3 linked regions of the Cricetulus griseus genome follow. The protein of the gene in region 2 purifies or fractionates together with the protein of the main gene of each other region. This does not show direct contact. Links are inferred from orthologs where the notes say so. Each region holds a gene or a part of one and is shown on either strand. Other genes may lie near its edges. The genes, in order: Cpeb1, Sympk and Cpsf1.

The links.
Region 1: the proteins of Sympk (region 2) and Cpeb1 purify together in Homo sapiens (affinity purification with mass spectrometry; 3 studies listed by BioGRID and IntAct, counting the BioPlex papers as one, with this or other methods). This does not show direct contact. The link is inferred for Cricetulus griseus from reciprocal best matches to the Homo sapiens genes SYMPK and CPEB1.
Region 3: the proteins of Sympk (region 2) and Cpsf1 fractionate together in Homo sapiens (co-fractionation; 5 studies listed by BioGRID and IntAct, with this or other methods). This does not show direct contact. The link is inferred for Cricetulus griseus from reciprocal best matches to the Homo sapiens genes SYMPK and CPSF1.

Annotation. Positions count from the first base shown.
Region 1 is NC_048596.1:116,223,123-116,227,835, forward strand, and holds part of Cpeb1 (cytoplasmic polyadenylation element-binding protein 1), read left to right. Parts: intron 1-163; coding exon 164-362; intron 363-2,009; coding exon 2,010-2,104; intron 2,105-2,817; coding exon 2,818-2,898; intron 2,899-4,713.
Region 2 is NC_048602.1:28,328,561-28,333,652, reverse strand, and holds part of Sympk (symplekin), read left to right. Parts: intron 1-3,434; coding exon 3,435-3,589; intron 3,590-3,856; coding exon 3,857-4,007; intron 4,008-5,092. UniProt on the Homo sapiens protein: Scaffold protein that functions as a component of a multimolecular complex involved in histone mRNA 3'-end processing. Specific component of the tight junction (TJ) plaque, but might not be an exclusively junctional component. May have a house-keeping rule.
Region 3 is NC_048595.1:373,880,764-373,886,480, forward strand, and holds the start of Cpsf1 (cleavage and polyadenylation specificity factor subunit 1), read right to left. Parts: upstream 3,749-5,717; 5' UTR 3,673-3,748; coding exon 3,529-3,672; intron 1-3,528. UniProt on the Homo sapiens protein: Component of the cleavage and polyadenylation specificity factor (CPSF) complex that plays a key role in pre-mRNA 3'-end formation, recognizing the AAUAAA signal sequence and interacting with poly(A) polymerase and other factors to bring about cleavage and poly(A) addition.

The sequences.
Region 1 (4,713 bases), on a different chromosome or scaffold from region 2:
TAAGGATGCCTTACTGGAAACCTGTGTGCCTCACATGAGTGACAACACCCTTTCACCCCTGCACAACTTTAGCAGCTGCAGCTGTAATATCCAGAGCATGTGTTCTACCATACAGGAGGCTCTCTGAAGCTGCCAGCTGATAAACCTTTGGGGGCATTTTCAGGTGCAGGTAATCCCTTGGGTCTTGGCTGACAGCAACTTTGTCTGGAGCCCATCTCAGAGGCTGGATCCCAGCAGGACGGTGTTTGTTGGTGCCTTGCACGGGATGCTCAATGCTGAGGCTCTGGCTGCCATCTTGAATGACCTATTTGGTGGAGTGGTGTATGCTGGGATTGACACAGATAAGCACAAGTACCCCATTGGTGAGTGTCCTACTTCTGTGTGGGAAGGCTTGGTGCCCCTGGGAGTAAATTAAAATTGTAATACTTGCCCTTGAGAGTGGAGAGAGAACTGACCTGGGTTTGCAAATCATCTTTTCCTCCAGAAGTTACCAATACTGGCCCATCTGCATCTTGACTCTGCTCCTGTTTCCCACACTGGGAAAAAGGGTGATTGTAGGATTTATGATAATATTGGTGAAAATGAGGGGAAAAGTTGGTTGAGATTCAAAGTACACAGCCAAACCAGTTTAGGACAAACTGTAGCTAGTATTGCATTTAAAGACATAATTTACTGAGAACTTGCCCAGTTTCCTGTATTAAAAGTTCTTGCCAGCCAGGCGTTGGTGACGCACATCTTTAATCCCAGCACTCTCGAGGCAGAGGCAGGTGGATCTCTGTGAGTTTGAGGCCAGCCTGGTCTCTAGGACAGCCTCCAAAGCTACACAGAAAAACCCTGTCTTGAAAAACCACAAAAAAAGTTCTTGCCAGTCATGGTAGCACATGCTTGTACTTAGGAGACAGAAGCAGGTGGATCTCTGAATTCAGAGCCAATCCAGTCTACAGAGAGAATTCCAGGGCAGCCAGGGCTACATAGTGAGACCTTGTCAGGAAGCAAGGAAAAAAATGTTTTGTTTTTACATCTTTGATCTTGTCTAGAGTAAGAGACAAGGTCAGATCAAAGGTGCTTTCTGAATTTCTCAGAAACTGGTACAGCTATTGAGCTGTTCTACCCTAAGGTAGTCTGTCCTAACCACTGACTTTTGATCAGCTTTTCTGAGAAAGATTTAGTACAGCAACCACAGTGATGGGGTTTGGAAGTGGAGCAGACCTGAACTCTGATCGAGGCATATATATAGTTAATCCACCTTCCTAGAAGCTTGGTCTGCTCACCTACACTGAATCTGGTCAGGGAGGAGCACTGAGTGCTTGCCAGTGCTGTGCTGAAGATGGAGAACTAGGACTTCAGAGGCTTATAGGGGCAGGGATCGCACTGGCAGGAAGGGATTCTTCTGCTAGTTCCTAGTTCTCTAAGGTTCCTCTGGGTCAGACAAGGTTTGATCGCCATTTCTACCCTTCAGAGACAGTTTAGTCTGCAGCTTGGGTGCCAACTGAGCCCTTTACCTTTCTCTGCGCATCTGTGTGCATAGGAGGAACCCCATCCTTTCCCTCTTTGCTAAATGGTTTACACTAACATGTCTTACAATGTTACTGTCCAGTGTGATAGCCACCAACAGGAGGTATCTGTTGAGCACTTGGAATGCAGCTTCTCCTAGGTGTTAAAATATCTGGAACACAGCCAGGCAGTGGTGGCGTTAGCCTTTAACCCCAGCACTTGGGAGGCAGAGGCAGGTGGATTTCTGTAAGTTTGAAGCCAGTCTGGTTTACAGAGAGTTCCAGGACAGCCAGGGCTACACAGAGAAACCCTGTCTTGGAAAAGGAATCTTGAACACATAGGTGAACTATATTATTAAAATTCCACTACTTTCAATTTTGCTGTGACAAGCACTAAGTTAGAAATTACATACTTACTTACATTTATGTCAGACAGCACTGGTATAGAAACGGAGTTTTTTGAGTACTTAAGAGAATTTGAGCAGGAATGTGTAAGCTTGTGCCCGGTTTTCCTAGGGTCTGGTCGAGTGACTTTCAATAACCAACGTAGTTACCTGAAAGCAGTCAGCGCTGCTTTTGTGGAGATCAAAACCACCAAGTTTACCAAGAAGGTGAGTGTCTGGTTGATGCTCTTACTTTGAGAGAGACTTGAATCATTTACAAAAATGGCATAGTTCCAAGGTTAGGGCAATGAGCCCAACTGCCAAGTTGGCCTGAGTTCAGGGTTTGAGGTGGGCTTTGTCTCAGGGGACTCAGGAGGAAGGGACCAAGACTGTTAGTGCCTGAGTAGGTGTGGGTGGGGAGAAGTTCCCTCATTTTGATATTTATCTGAAATTGCTAAGTAGATTGACTTTTTTTAAAAAGATTTTATTTATTATGTCTTCTGCCTGCATGCCAGCAGAGGATACCAGATTTCAGTGGTTGTGATGGTTGCTGGGAATTGAACTTAGGACTTCTGCAAGAACAGTCAGTGCTCTTAACTACTGAGCCATCTCTCCAGCCCCTAGATTGACTTTCTTTATCCCCTTATACCTGATTCCTCTGAACCCTTCCCTGTTAAAAGGGATAATGGAGAGCCAGGGTTCATTTTGCTGAGCATAGGCAATATAAAGCCTGTGGCTGTCAAATGTTGGAAGCAACCAGCTCTTGTTTCTGTAGGATAGGAGTCTATCCACTAAGAGCCGTATTAGACCCTGGCCCACAATTCTGTCTAGCCTCCATTAGAACAGACAAACATCCTACATCCCTGTGTGTTCAATAATAAGCTACTAAAGTTCATCTGACCCATAAAACCATTTTATTTCCCTCTGTTGCTGTTCCTCAGGTTCAGATTGACCCCTATCTAGAAGATTCTCTGTGTCTTATCTGCAGTTCACAGCCTGGCCCTTTCTTCTGTCGAGATCAGGTGAGTTCCCTGGGCACTAGAAATGTCTACAAAGTTCCTATCACAATTTTTAAAAAATGTGTTAAGGTCCATTTATGGCATTGAGTATTAAAATTCTTAGGCAACTTGTGATGTCTGAGAGCATAGAGACAATAATCAAGAGGGCACAATATAGATAGCCTAGTCCACACTCTAGGTATGTCCGGTGCTCGTTGTATTTTCCCTTTCCCTTTCTGGGCTACTACTGTACAATATGGCCATTGGTGATGGTGGGTGCTTTTTGTTTTATTTTTTTGGAAATGGTCTTACTGTTTAGTCCTTACAGGCTATGGGACTCATGTAGCCAAGCTAGCCTTGAGCTTGCAGCAAGCCTCTTTCTTACTCACTGCTTCTGCCAGAGCCCCAGGATCAGTGGCATGTGATATCATACCCAGTTAGTGGGTTTGCAGACATTTGATAGTTGGGTACCTATGAATCAAGCTCTGCTGATATTTTTTCTAAGTCTGACAAGCATTTCTAAGTCTGTCCAACTACAGTCTCTGACGCTGTTTGCCTCTGGATAGCTATGAATACTGCCTAACCCAAAATTGTAATTTTAGGAGGACCCTCCCACCTTGTGAAGTATTGGTTTGGTTTTATATCTGGATTTCATGGTTCTCCAGCATGAAATGAGCATTGTATTGCAATGCCAAAAAGTTAAGCACACCGTGCTGGGACTGAGTTTTCCCCTACTTTATTTCTGAACTTCTGGACTGCTTTGGTATTTGTATCTGGGTTCTAACCACAGTCATCAGAGGTGGAAACTTCATGGAAAGTTTCCATGGAAACTTTCTATTGGGTGTCTCTGGGTGGTGGCACATGGATGGGATCTGCGTGTGTTTGGCAGTCAATGCTTTTTCTGACTTGAATGTATGTACACATCACCTGAGAACTTTGTTGAAATGAGAATCTGACTCTGGGTTTGGGTGGATCCTGAGAAGTCTGTGTTTTTAGTAAATTGCTGAGTGGTGTCTGTATTAATGTTTTGAAAGACCTCTTTTAAAAAAATACATTAAAATATGTTTTCATATATGCATACAATATATATTTTGATCATGTTCAACCCTACTCCTTTTCATCCACTCCTCTCAATTTAATCTTTTTGTTTTATTTTGGTGCTGTTACTCTTTGGGGTTTTTTTGTTTTGTTTTTGAGACAGGGTTTGTACCTGTGGTCAGCCTGGGACTTAATATGTAAACCAGGCTGGCCTCAAACTCAGAGATCAGCCTGCCTTTGCTTTCCAAGTTCTGGAATAAAAGGCATGCATCACTATGCCCAGTGTCTGTCTGTCTGTCTCTCTCTGTCTCTGTCTCTGTCTCTGTCTCTCTCTCTCTCTCTCTCTCTCTCTCTCTCTCTCTCTCACACACACACACACACACCACACACACACACACACACACACACACACACACCCCACACACACACACTAACTCACACACCTAGTCCTGATGTGCTACTTATGGTGGTCCATCTACTAAGGGATAACCCTTAAAGAAAACTGACTTTCTTCTTCCAGAAGCTCTCAGCTAGTAGTGGCTTGTGGGCTTTTTCCCTATTCATGCTGGAATGTTCATTGGATTGATCTTGTGCAGGCACAATCATTGAACCACATTTTGAAACCTCCTCTGGGATGTTTGGGAACATCCAGACTCTAGCATTCATCCATGCTTAGTTTGTCTTATAATGATGCTGTCATTTGCATGGAGGCTCTTAGATAGTCAAACACAGGCTCCCAAGGGAGCTCAGAGTAAGTTTGGGTAGTAAGGTAAAGCCTGAAAATAAGTATCTTTCTAAATT
Region 2 (5,092 bases):
GTGTGTTCTTTGTGTTTTCGTTCCTGTTTTATACGTGTGTAGAAGGCGCTTTTCCTTTACTTGATATATATAATTGGATTTTTCTTTTTTTGTTTTGGTTTTTGGAGAAGGCTTTCTCTGTGTAGTCCTGGCTGTCCTGGAACTCACTCTGTAGACCATGCTGGCCTTGAACCCACAGAAATTCACCTGTCTCTGCCTCCTGAGTGCTGATTAAAGCTTTGCGTGTACCACCACCATCTGGCTCAGGGTTTTTGTTTTTGTTTTTAATTTTGAAAACTTGAACATTTTTGTTTTTTATTGAGACACGGTCTTCTGTCTCCAAGTGTGAGGATTGCAGGTGTGTGTCACCTCCCCAGCTCTGAGGTGATTTCTGGGGTACTCAACAATAGTGTTGACATAGCAGCCTCTTAATACCAACATTTTTTAAAATGTCATCTCTGTGTGTAGGATATTTCTGAAATTATGTTGGGGTTTTGTCTTGCTTTTGTCAAGATGTCATTATGTAGTCCTGGCTGGCCTTCGAACACATAGAGATCCACCTGCCTCTGCTTCCGAAGTGCTGGGATGACAGATGTGTGCCAATGCACCCAGCTATGAAATTCTTTTTTTTTTTTAAGATTTTATTTATTATGTATACAACATTCTGCTTCCATGTACATCTGCACACCAGAAGAGGGCACCAGATCTCATTACAGATGGTTGTGAGCCACCATGTGGGTGCTGGGAATTGAACTCAGGACCTCTGGAAGAGCAGTCAGTGCTCTTAACCTCTGAGCCATCTCTCCAGCCCCGAAATTCTTTTTTGTATTCAAATGGAATTAACTTCATAAGGGTTGCTGTGGCCTTTAGCTATATTTCTCCGTTGCTCAGTGAGGGAGAGCAATACTTTGCTCTCCTTTAAGTTTCTGTGGAGGAGATTCTACTGCGATTTTTTTTTTTTAATGGGGGAGGGGAGCACATATGCCAAGTGCGTGTATGGAGGCCAGGGCACAACTTTGTGGGACCTGTCCTCTCCTTCTGGGGATCAGACTGGGATCTTCAGGTTTGTGCGAGAGGGAAGCACCTCTCCCCACTGAGCCTGTTGCTGGCCCTTCATCTTTTCACTATTTATTTTAACGTTTTCATCAGATTCATTCATTTTATGTGTGAGTGTCTTGCTTGTACACATGTATGTTTACCACATGCACGCTTGGTGTCTCCGGAAGACAGAAGGCGGTACCAGATCCCCTGGAACTGGCGTTACAGGTGGTTGTGAACCACTATCTGGGTGTTCTCAAGTCTAAGCTACCTCTACCTCTGCCTTGCATCTTTTTAATGGTGGTCAGGTACTCTGCAATGTGCATGGAAACATTGCCAGTTACATTTGTGGGCATCTTGTTTCTGCCCCTGCTGTAGGACTGTCCTGTGCATCTCACCATAGAACACTCCCAAAGGAAAACACTTCGAGGGGTTGTGCATTGAGTTTGTCTAAAGTCAATTTTCTCTTCTTACTTTTTTTTTTTTTAAAGATTTGTTTTTTATGTTTATTTATTTATCTATTTAAGATTTTATTTATCATGTATACATCATTCTGCTTCCATGTATATCTGCACACCAGAAGAGGGCACCAGATCTCATAACGGATGGTTGTTAGCCACCATGTGGTTGCTGGGAATTGAACTCAGGACCTCTGGAAGAACAGTCAGTGCTCTTAACCTCTGAGCCATCTCTCCAGCCCCCTGTTTATTTATTATATATTATATATATAATATATATATATTTTTTTTTTTTTTTTTTTTTTCGAGACAGGGCTTCTCTGTGTAGCTTTGGAGCCTGTCCTGGAACTCTCTCTGTAGACCAGGCTGGCCTCGAACTCACAGAGATCTGCCTGCCTCTGCCTCCCGAGTTCTGGGATTAAAGGGGTGTGCCACCAGGGCCCGGCTAAAATAATTTATTTAACTTTATTTTCTGTGCATTGGTGTGAAGGTGTCACACCAATCACAAACTAGAGTTTCAGAAGTTGTGAGCTGTCACGTGGGTGCTGGGAATTGAACCTGGGTCCTCTGGAAAAGCAGCCAGTGCTCTTAACCACTGAGCTATCTTTCCAGACCGCCCCCCCCCCTTTTTTTTTTTTTTAAAGTTTCTCTGTGTAGCCATGGCTGTTCTGGAACTTGCTTTGTAGATCAAGCTGGCCTTGAACTTAAAGATCTGCCTGTCTCTGCCTCCCAAGTGCTGGGATTAAAGGCGTGCACCACCACTGCCCACCCGGCTAATACTTACTTTTATTTTTAATGGTGTATACACATATGGGTGTGCGTGCGTGCGTGCGTGCGTGCGTGTATGCATGAGTGCAGTTGCCCACAAAGGCGGGAAGAGGCCATTAGACCCTTTGGAACTGGAGTTACAAGCATTTGTAAGCTGTGTGTCATGAGTGATGGATGCCAAATTTGGGTGTTTGGAAAAACAGCAAATGCTCTGAACGGTTGAGCCATTTGTCCAGCTCCGTATTTCCTTAAGCTTCTTGTTTTAAAGTGATTTTGGATGGACAGACACGTTGCAGAAGTGGTACTGGAGGCGCCTGTGTGCTGTTCATGGGTATCCATCACACATTGTGTTTGGCCCATGTGTCTCTCACGCGCTCACCCAGCTAACACTGTGTCCATATCTCCTGAGCGGTCCCCTGCTGTGGAATGCCAGTCTTCTAGCAAGGAATGGTGGTGCATGCCTCTGATCCCAGCACTTGGGGTCTCAATCAGGAGGGTCCAGGTCCCAACTAGTCTGAGATAGATAGTAAATTTTAGCCAGCCTGAGCTACATAAGACAGTGTCTCAAAAAAGGGAGGCTGGTTGGGGCTGGTGATATGGCTCAAGGGTTAAGAGTGGTATCTACTCTTTCAGAGGACCCCGGTTCAATTCCCAGTGGTGACATGGCAGCCCATAACCATTTGTTAGCCCAATCCTAGGGGATCCTTGCCCTCTTTTGACTTCCACATGCACACACATGGTGCACAGATATACATACATGCAGGCAAATACCCATATACTTAAACTCAAGAAGCATCTCCTTTAGAAGGTGACGTAGAATGGTGTCAGTGATAGGGACAGTAACAGCATGCTGTCTCTCACTGGGAGCACCTACCTAGAGAGTACAGGGTCCTGCGTTCCATCCTCAGTATGGACTATATTAATAGTATCGTCATCTCAGAGCTTAATGTGATCAGCTAGAGGTTTTTGGCTTTTTGCCATGTTCCAGATGAGACCGGGGCACCAGGAAGAGGTGGGTGCCTGGGGCCCTATGTCACTTTCACGGCCATGACAAACTGCAGCTTAGGTCCTTCCTTGCCTGCTGTGTGGCTGCTTCATGCAGTGGCTTGCTAGAGGCAGGGTCCCCTGGCTCCCTGACACAGGTCCAGCTGCAGTCTAGAAAGCCAGCCTTTTCCCTTCTTCCCTTCTCAGAGCCCAACTTGGGAGAAGATGATGAGGACAAAGACTTGGAACCTGGCCCATCAGGGACTTCAAAGGCCTCAGCCCAGATCTCAGGCCAGTCAGACACGGACATCACTGCTGAGTTCTTGCAGCCTCTGCTAACACCTGACAATGTGGCCAATCTGGTGAGGAGGGTTAGGTTGTCCCTTGGATAGGCCTTTCCTCTCACCCCTCCTCCTTCGAGAAGCCATTTATCCTCATTATCCCATTCCCTGTCTACTCACTCTGTTCTGGGGGGTGGGAGACTCCCAGGTGGACAGCCCGGTGGTCATTGTTTTCCCAGAGAGCTAAGACAAGGAGTGCAGGCCCAGCCCAGCCTCAGTTCCTGCTGCTCCTTCCATGCTGCTCTAGACTGAACTGGCTAAGGCTTCCCCTCCCCGGGCCTCCTGCAGGTCCTCATCAGCATGGTGTACCTACCTGAGACCATGCCTGCCTCCTTCCAAGCCATCTACACCCCGGTGGAGTCTGCAGGCACCGAAGCCCAGATCAAGCACCTGGCTCGGCTCATGGCCACACAGATGACAGCTGCAGGACTGGGACCTGGTGAGTCTTGTGCTGACCCAGGCCAGGCCTTGGCACTGGACTCTCTTTCTGGAAAAGCTGTGGAGATGAAGGTCATGCGCCATCTAAGGTGTTCCACCATTATATAGAATGCTCAATGTCTTCAGGTCCTGGGCTTTGAAATCTAACAGACTTCACCTTGAGGTCCAGACTGAACCATACTGACTGTGTCAGGTTACTGAGACTCTGAACTTTGGAGTCTTTCCCTTATTTCGCCTGTGCATTTTTTTGTTTTTTTGTGTGTGCCCTCAGGCTAGGAGAGGGCGTCAGATCTCTTGGTGATGGAGGAATCACAAGAGTTGTGGGTGTTAAGAGCAAAGCTGAGGTCCTGTGCGAGAACAGCAAGTGCTCTTCACGCCTAAGGCATCTCTGCAGGGCAGGCTTTTGTCTTCTTTGAGACCAGGTCTTGTTGTGCAACCCATGCTGGCTTCTAATTTGCACCAATCTTCTGCCTAGTCTCCTGAGTGCTGGAATTATGGGTGTGAGCCATGCTTGGCACCAGCTTGTTCTTTGAAGTATAAATTATGAACATTGACACAAATACAACTCCAGTGTCGGTGTGGCCATGAGCATCACAAGGAATGGCTTTTTCCAACTCATGTGGGTTCCAAAGACTGGACTCAGTTCCCCTTTTCCCTCTAAGCCATTGCACCAACCCTTGTTTCAGACCTTCTTGTCGTGAGCATAACAGTGGCTTACGGGTCTTTTTTTTTTTTTTTTTTAAGATTTTATTTTATTAAGTATACAGACAATCTTCGACCTGCCTGTGCCCTGCAGGTCAGAATGAGGTATCATTACAGATGGTTGTGAGCCACCATGTGGTTGCCAGGAATTGAACTCAGGACCTCTGGAAGAGCAGTCAGTGCTCTTAACTTCTGAGCCATCTCTCCAGCCCTGGCTTACGAGTCTTTGGTATGCTCAGGTTTTCACCTGACTGCTCCAAGAGATGGTGTTGTCAAGTCATGTGGCCCCTGCTTTTAAAGCCTGTTTATCTTGAGGATGCCTGAGTGTTACACACCTGTCACCCCAAGAAGTGGAGGCGGGGGGGGGTGTGTGTGGGGGGGGCG
Region 3 (5,717 bases), on a different chromosome or scaffold from region 2:
CTTGCACTTGAGTCTATGGGACAGGAGGAACCATACTGTTCTGCTAGGGCCAAAAAACAGGAAGCTGCTATTTTAGCTTCAGCTTTTGTTTCAAGATCTTTTATTTTATTTAATTAATTTTTTTCATTTATTTTACATGCCAACCACAGTTTCTCCTCCCTCCTCTCTTCTCATTCCCCTCCACCAACTCTATCTCCCATTCCCTATCTACCCCTCTCCCCATCCAAACCTCCGTCTCCATTCAGAAAGGGGCAGGCCTTTCGTGGGCTTGAACAAAGATCCTCCCCTTGCATAAAGGCTGAGTGAGGTAATCCAGCATGGTGAATAGGTTCTCAAAAGCCAGCTAAGATCCAGGGACAGGTCCTGATCTCAAGGATCTATCTTTTGAATGTGCCCTAACCATTAAAAATCCAAACAGTAGCCGGGCATTGGTGGCGATGCCTTTAATCCCAGTCCTTGGGAGGCAGAGGCAGGCAGATCTCTGTGAGTTTGAGACCAGCCAGGATGACATATAGCTAGTTCCAGGACAGCCTCCAAAGCCACAGAGAAACCCTGTCTCGAGAAAAAAAAAAAAAAAAAAATCTAAACACTTGCTGGGCATAGTGGCACACGCCTTTGATCCCAGTACTTGGGAGGCAAAGGCAGGAGGATCTCTGTGAATTCATTCGAGACCAGCCTGGTCTACAAGAGCTAGTTTCCAGGGCAGGCTCCAAAAACACAGAGAAACTCTATCTTGAAACTCAAGGCCCCCCCCCAAAAAAAAAATCTAAACACTCAGCCGGGTATGGTGATGCACCCCTTTAATCCCAGCACTTGAGAAGCAGAGGTAGGAGGATATCTGTGAGTTCAATGTCAGGCTGGTCTACATAGCAAGTTCCAGGATAGCCAGGACTACTATACAGAGAAACTCTGTCTCAAAACACCTACCCTCAAAAAAGCAAACACTCCTGTTAATTACCAGTGTACAGTTATGCTGTTCTCTCCCTTGCCTTTAAAATCCTTTCTCTTGACTTGAGTTCTGTTCTTAGCACTCATACCAGGCAGCTCACAACCACCTTTAATTCTAGCTCCTACCCCTGGCCACCATGGAATAACAACACTACCAGAATAACTGCTAAGACCAAATCTAGACCAGTTACCCACAACGCTGGCAAAATTTTGGCAACACTGTCGGTTCCTCTCTATCTATCCTGAACCTGATGGCTTCCTATCACCTCATAGCTATACTGGTCCAGGCTACTATTAATGCTTGCCTAAGCTGGGCGGGTGGTGGTGGTGGTGGTGGTGGTGGTGGTGGTGGTGGCGGCGGCGGCGGCGCACGCCTTTAATCCCAGCACTCGGGAGGCAGAGGCAGGTGGATCTCTATGAGTTTGAGACCAGCCTGGTCTACAAGAGCTAGTTCCAGGACAGCCTCCAAAGCCACAGAGAAACCTTGTCTCGAAAAGCCAACAACAACAACAAAAAATTCTTGCCTAATAGCTATAGTCACTTCCTGACTAGTATCCTTGGCCCTCAGTCAAGCATAAGTTGGGTAAGATCATTTATTTGCCAAAATTCCCTACTTGGAGAATGTGGAATAGAGCCCGAGACCCACCTTGTTACCTCCTATCTGCTCTCCCTGCCTTCCTCAATCCCTTAGCCTATATCACAAAACAGTTTTGTTTGAAACCACTTTGTCTAACTCCTACATACTTCTTCATACCTGGTTGTCTATTTAAATCACATCTTCTACAGAGGTGAGATTTTCCAGGAGCCCTGCCCAGATCTGCTGCCCTACATCTCCCTATCTGTATGTGGCCTGTCATTCACTATGGGCAAACTCCACACAGAAGGCTTCTCCCCAGATATCTCACATAGCAGATACTAATAAATGTCTGAGAAAGCCAGGCAGTGGTGGCTCATGCCTTTAATCCCACTCCTCAGAGGCAGAGGCAGGTGTATCTCTGAATTTAGTTTCCAGGGTGGGTTCTAGGGCAGCCAGAACTACACAGAGAAACCCTGCCTTGAAAAAACAAACAAAAAAATATGATCCCTCTCTCATGGTACCCAAGGTTTTTCCACCTCATGTTTCTGCCTGGAACACCTCCCTATCAGCAGAGATATGTGCTGCACCTTGACTAAGAAGCCGCCTCTTTAGTCAGGGGCTGGAGTGATGGCACAGCTATCAAAAGCACTTGCTGCTCTTACAGAAGACCCATTAGGCACAAACACTGATCTCCATGGACACCAAGGGTACATGTGGTGTACATATATATATGTAGGCAAAACATTCACATAAAATCAAATAATAAACCTAATTTTTAAAATTTAGGAGAATCCAGAGCGAGTGCCAGGATAGGCTCCAAAGCTACACAGAGAAACCCTGTCTCAGAAAAAAAAAACCAAAAAAATAAAAATAAAATAAAATTTAGGAGAAAAGGGACCAGGGATATGGCTCAGCAGTTAAGACCACCACCTTCTTCCAGAGGACCCAGGTTAAATCCCCGGCACCCACATCACAACTCTCTGTAACTCTAGTTCCAGAGGATCCGACACCTTCATACAGGCATACATGTAGGCAAAAACACCAATGTACATGAAATAAAAATCAATAAAATTTTTAAAAATTTTAGAAGCTGCCCTTTTGGCTTCATTTGTGTTTTGTTTGTTTGTTTTGAGACAGAGTCTCATTATGTAGCCCTGACTGGCTTGGCCACTTTAGACTGGAACACTCGGAAATCTGTCTGCTTCTGCCTGAGACTGAAGGCAGGCAATACCAAGTTCCACGGAAATTGCCTCTTGCAAGAAGGCTTCCTGAGGAGATGGAGAGATGACTCAGTGGTTTAGAGCACTGGCAGCTCTTGCAGAGGTCCTGAGTTCAAGTCCCAGCAACCATATGGTATGAGATCTGGTGTCCTCTCCTGGCCTGTAGGCATACATGCAGGCAGAGCACTGTATACATAATAAATAAATCTTTAAAAAAAAAAAAAAAGCATTCTGAACCATTTGGTGTCACTATAGCAACCAAAACATCCCTATACCTTATCTATTGATGGGTTTGTTCCACTTTACCACATCTACTGCTAGGAGTCGGTTCCCAAACTATATCTGGCCTTGCTTCTTTATTTAGGCCCAAGTGTTCTTCCCCCCAACAAACTTTATCAGTCTCGGAAAAGCTCTTGTTGTTTGGAAGCACCCAGCCTCCTTCACTGGGTCTTACTCCCGGAGACTTTGCGGCAGTCTGTGTATATTCATTTACTAAAGCATCATCTCCCTCAAGGGTCTGGTTCACTGCCATGTCCTTACTGCTAAGCACACGGAAGGTCTGCAGCAATCTTCTGGAAATGCCAAAGAACAAATAGCAGACAGTAGGCAGGGTAGTAGGCATCCTACCCTACTCGCAGGGTAGGATGAGGCCAAACAACGTGGTAGTGGAGAATCGTCTCTGGGGACAAGAGACCTTAGGCAAAGCTCGGCCCCTGCACCGTGGAACCTGCCGAGGTGACTGCGGTTCGGACTCGGCATCGCCGCTCAGGAGACACGGCTTACCTCGGCGTCGCGGTTCAGGCGGTACACATAGAGCTGTGAGGTGCCGGCCACCACGAGGTTGCGCTCATTGTTGTTGAAGAAGTTGCAGTACATGGCAAACTCCAGCCCGGTGGGCGGGTGTGCCTGCTTGTATACCGCATACATATTGCCGCCACTGTCACGCCGGGGCTGTCGACTCGGGGGACAGGGACCGCAGCGGACTCGGTCCGGCCGCGCGCGCAAACCCGGCTACAAGGTTCCGAGTTCTGCGCCTGCGCTTCCCGCCCGGACCTGCCTTCCAGGAGGACCAACCTGGTAGTCGAGAAACACGGTTCCGGACTACTTGGCCTGTGCGCCTGCGCGCCGAGGCTGCCCTCGAACCGCGGCCCCTAGTGGCCTAACTTGATAAGAGCTGAAGAGCCTGGTCCTAGAACTAGTCGGCTCTGGGCTGGTAGACACTCCGCTCCCTCCAAGGTTTTCCTCATTAGCTAAATCCAGAACCTTGAAATCCCAGTAAATATATAGGCCCGGAAAAGGATACAGAAACATGCAAAGTCACACTTCACCTGCTCACTCAGTGGATGAGGGTCTATTTGGATGTCTAAGTTGGGAGGGGACCCTTGTATCACACTAAGGATCTCTCTTTTTTTTTTTTTTTAAGATTTTATGTATCTATTATATATACAACATTCTGCTTCCATGTATATCTGCACACCAGAAGAGGGCACCAGATCTCATAACAGATGGTTGTGAGCCACCATGTGGTTGCTGGGAATTGAACTCAGGACCTCTGGAATAGCACCTGGTGCTCTTAACCTCTGAGCCATCTCTCCAGCCCCCATGGGATCTCTTTTTTTAAAAAAGTATTTTGTTGCCGGGTGTTGGTGGCACACGCCTTTAATCCCAGAACTGGGGAGGCAGAGGCAGGCAGTTCTGTGTGAGTTCGAGGCCAGCCTGGTCTACAAGAGCTAGTTCCAGGACAGCCTCCAAAGCCACAGAGAAACCCTGTCTCAAAAAATAACAACAACAACAGAAAAGTATTTTGGGGGCTGGAGAGATGGCTCAGCGGTTAAGAGCACTGACTATTCTTCCAGAGGTCCTGAGTTCAATATCCAGCAACCACATGGTGGCTCACAACCACCTTGAGTGAGATTTGCATGCAGGCAGAAGACTGTATACATAATAAATAAATAAAATATTTAAAAAGTATTTTGTTGTTTCCCTTATTTATTTATTTATTTATTTATTGGTTTTTTGGGACAGGATTTCTCTATGGCTTTGGAGGCTGTCCTGGAATTAGCTCTTGTAGACCAGGCTGGTCTCGAACTCACAGAGATTCACCTGCCTCTGCCTCCCGAGTGCTAGGATTAAAAGCATGTGCCACTAACGCCCGGCTTGTCTTGTTTTTCTAGTCAGGGTTTCTCTGAATTGCTTTGGAGGCTGTCCTGGCACTCACCCTGTAGACCAGACTGGCCTCGAACTCACAGAGATCCACCTGCCTCTGCCTCCCCTTTGTTTATGTTTTAAGTCAAGGTCTTGCTACATATCCCTGGCTGTCCTAGAACTCAGCTGGCCTCGAATTCACAGAGATCTGCCTGCTTCTTCCTTCCAAGTGCTGGGATTAAAGCAGCACAGTCCTGCTGGCACATACACACATAATTTAAATAATAAAATCTTAGCCACTGATGGTGGCACACGCCTTTAATCCCAGCACTCAGGAGGCAGAGGCTGGTGGATCTCTGAGTTCGAAGACAGCCTGGTTTACTGAATGAGTTCCAAGACAGCCAGGGCTACACAGAGAAATCCTATCTCAAAAAAACAAAATAAGGGCTGGAGAGATGACTCAGAGGTTAAGACCACAGACTGCTCTTCCAAAGGTCCTGAGTTCAATTCCCAGCAACCACATGGTGGCTCACAACCATCCGTTATGAGATCTGGTGCCCTCTTCTGGTGTGCAGATATACATGGAAGAAGAATGTTGCATACATAATAAATAAATAAAATCTTTAAAAAAAAACAAAATAAAATAAAATCTTCAAAACAAAAAATTCTTGAAGACCTCTCACATGGTACCTCACATTTGTAATCCTGGTACTTTCAGGAAGGACTGTGCATTTCTGAGACCAATCTGGTTACCCAGTGAGACCCGGTGTTAATTAGCAGTTAAGACATTCTTTTCTTTTTCCCTGGTGTAAGAAGGGACTTTGAGA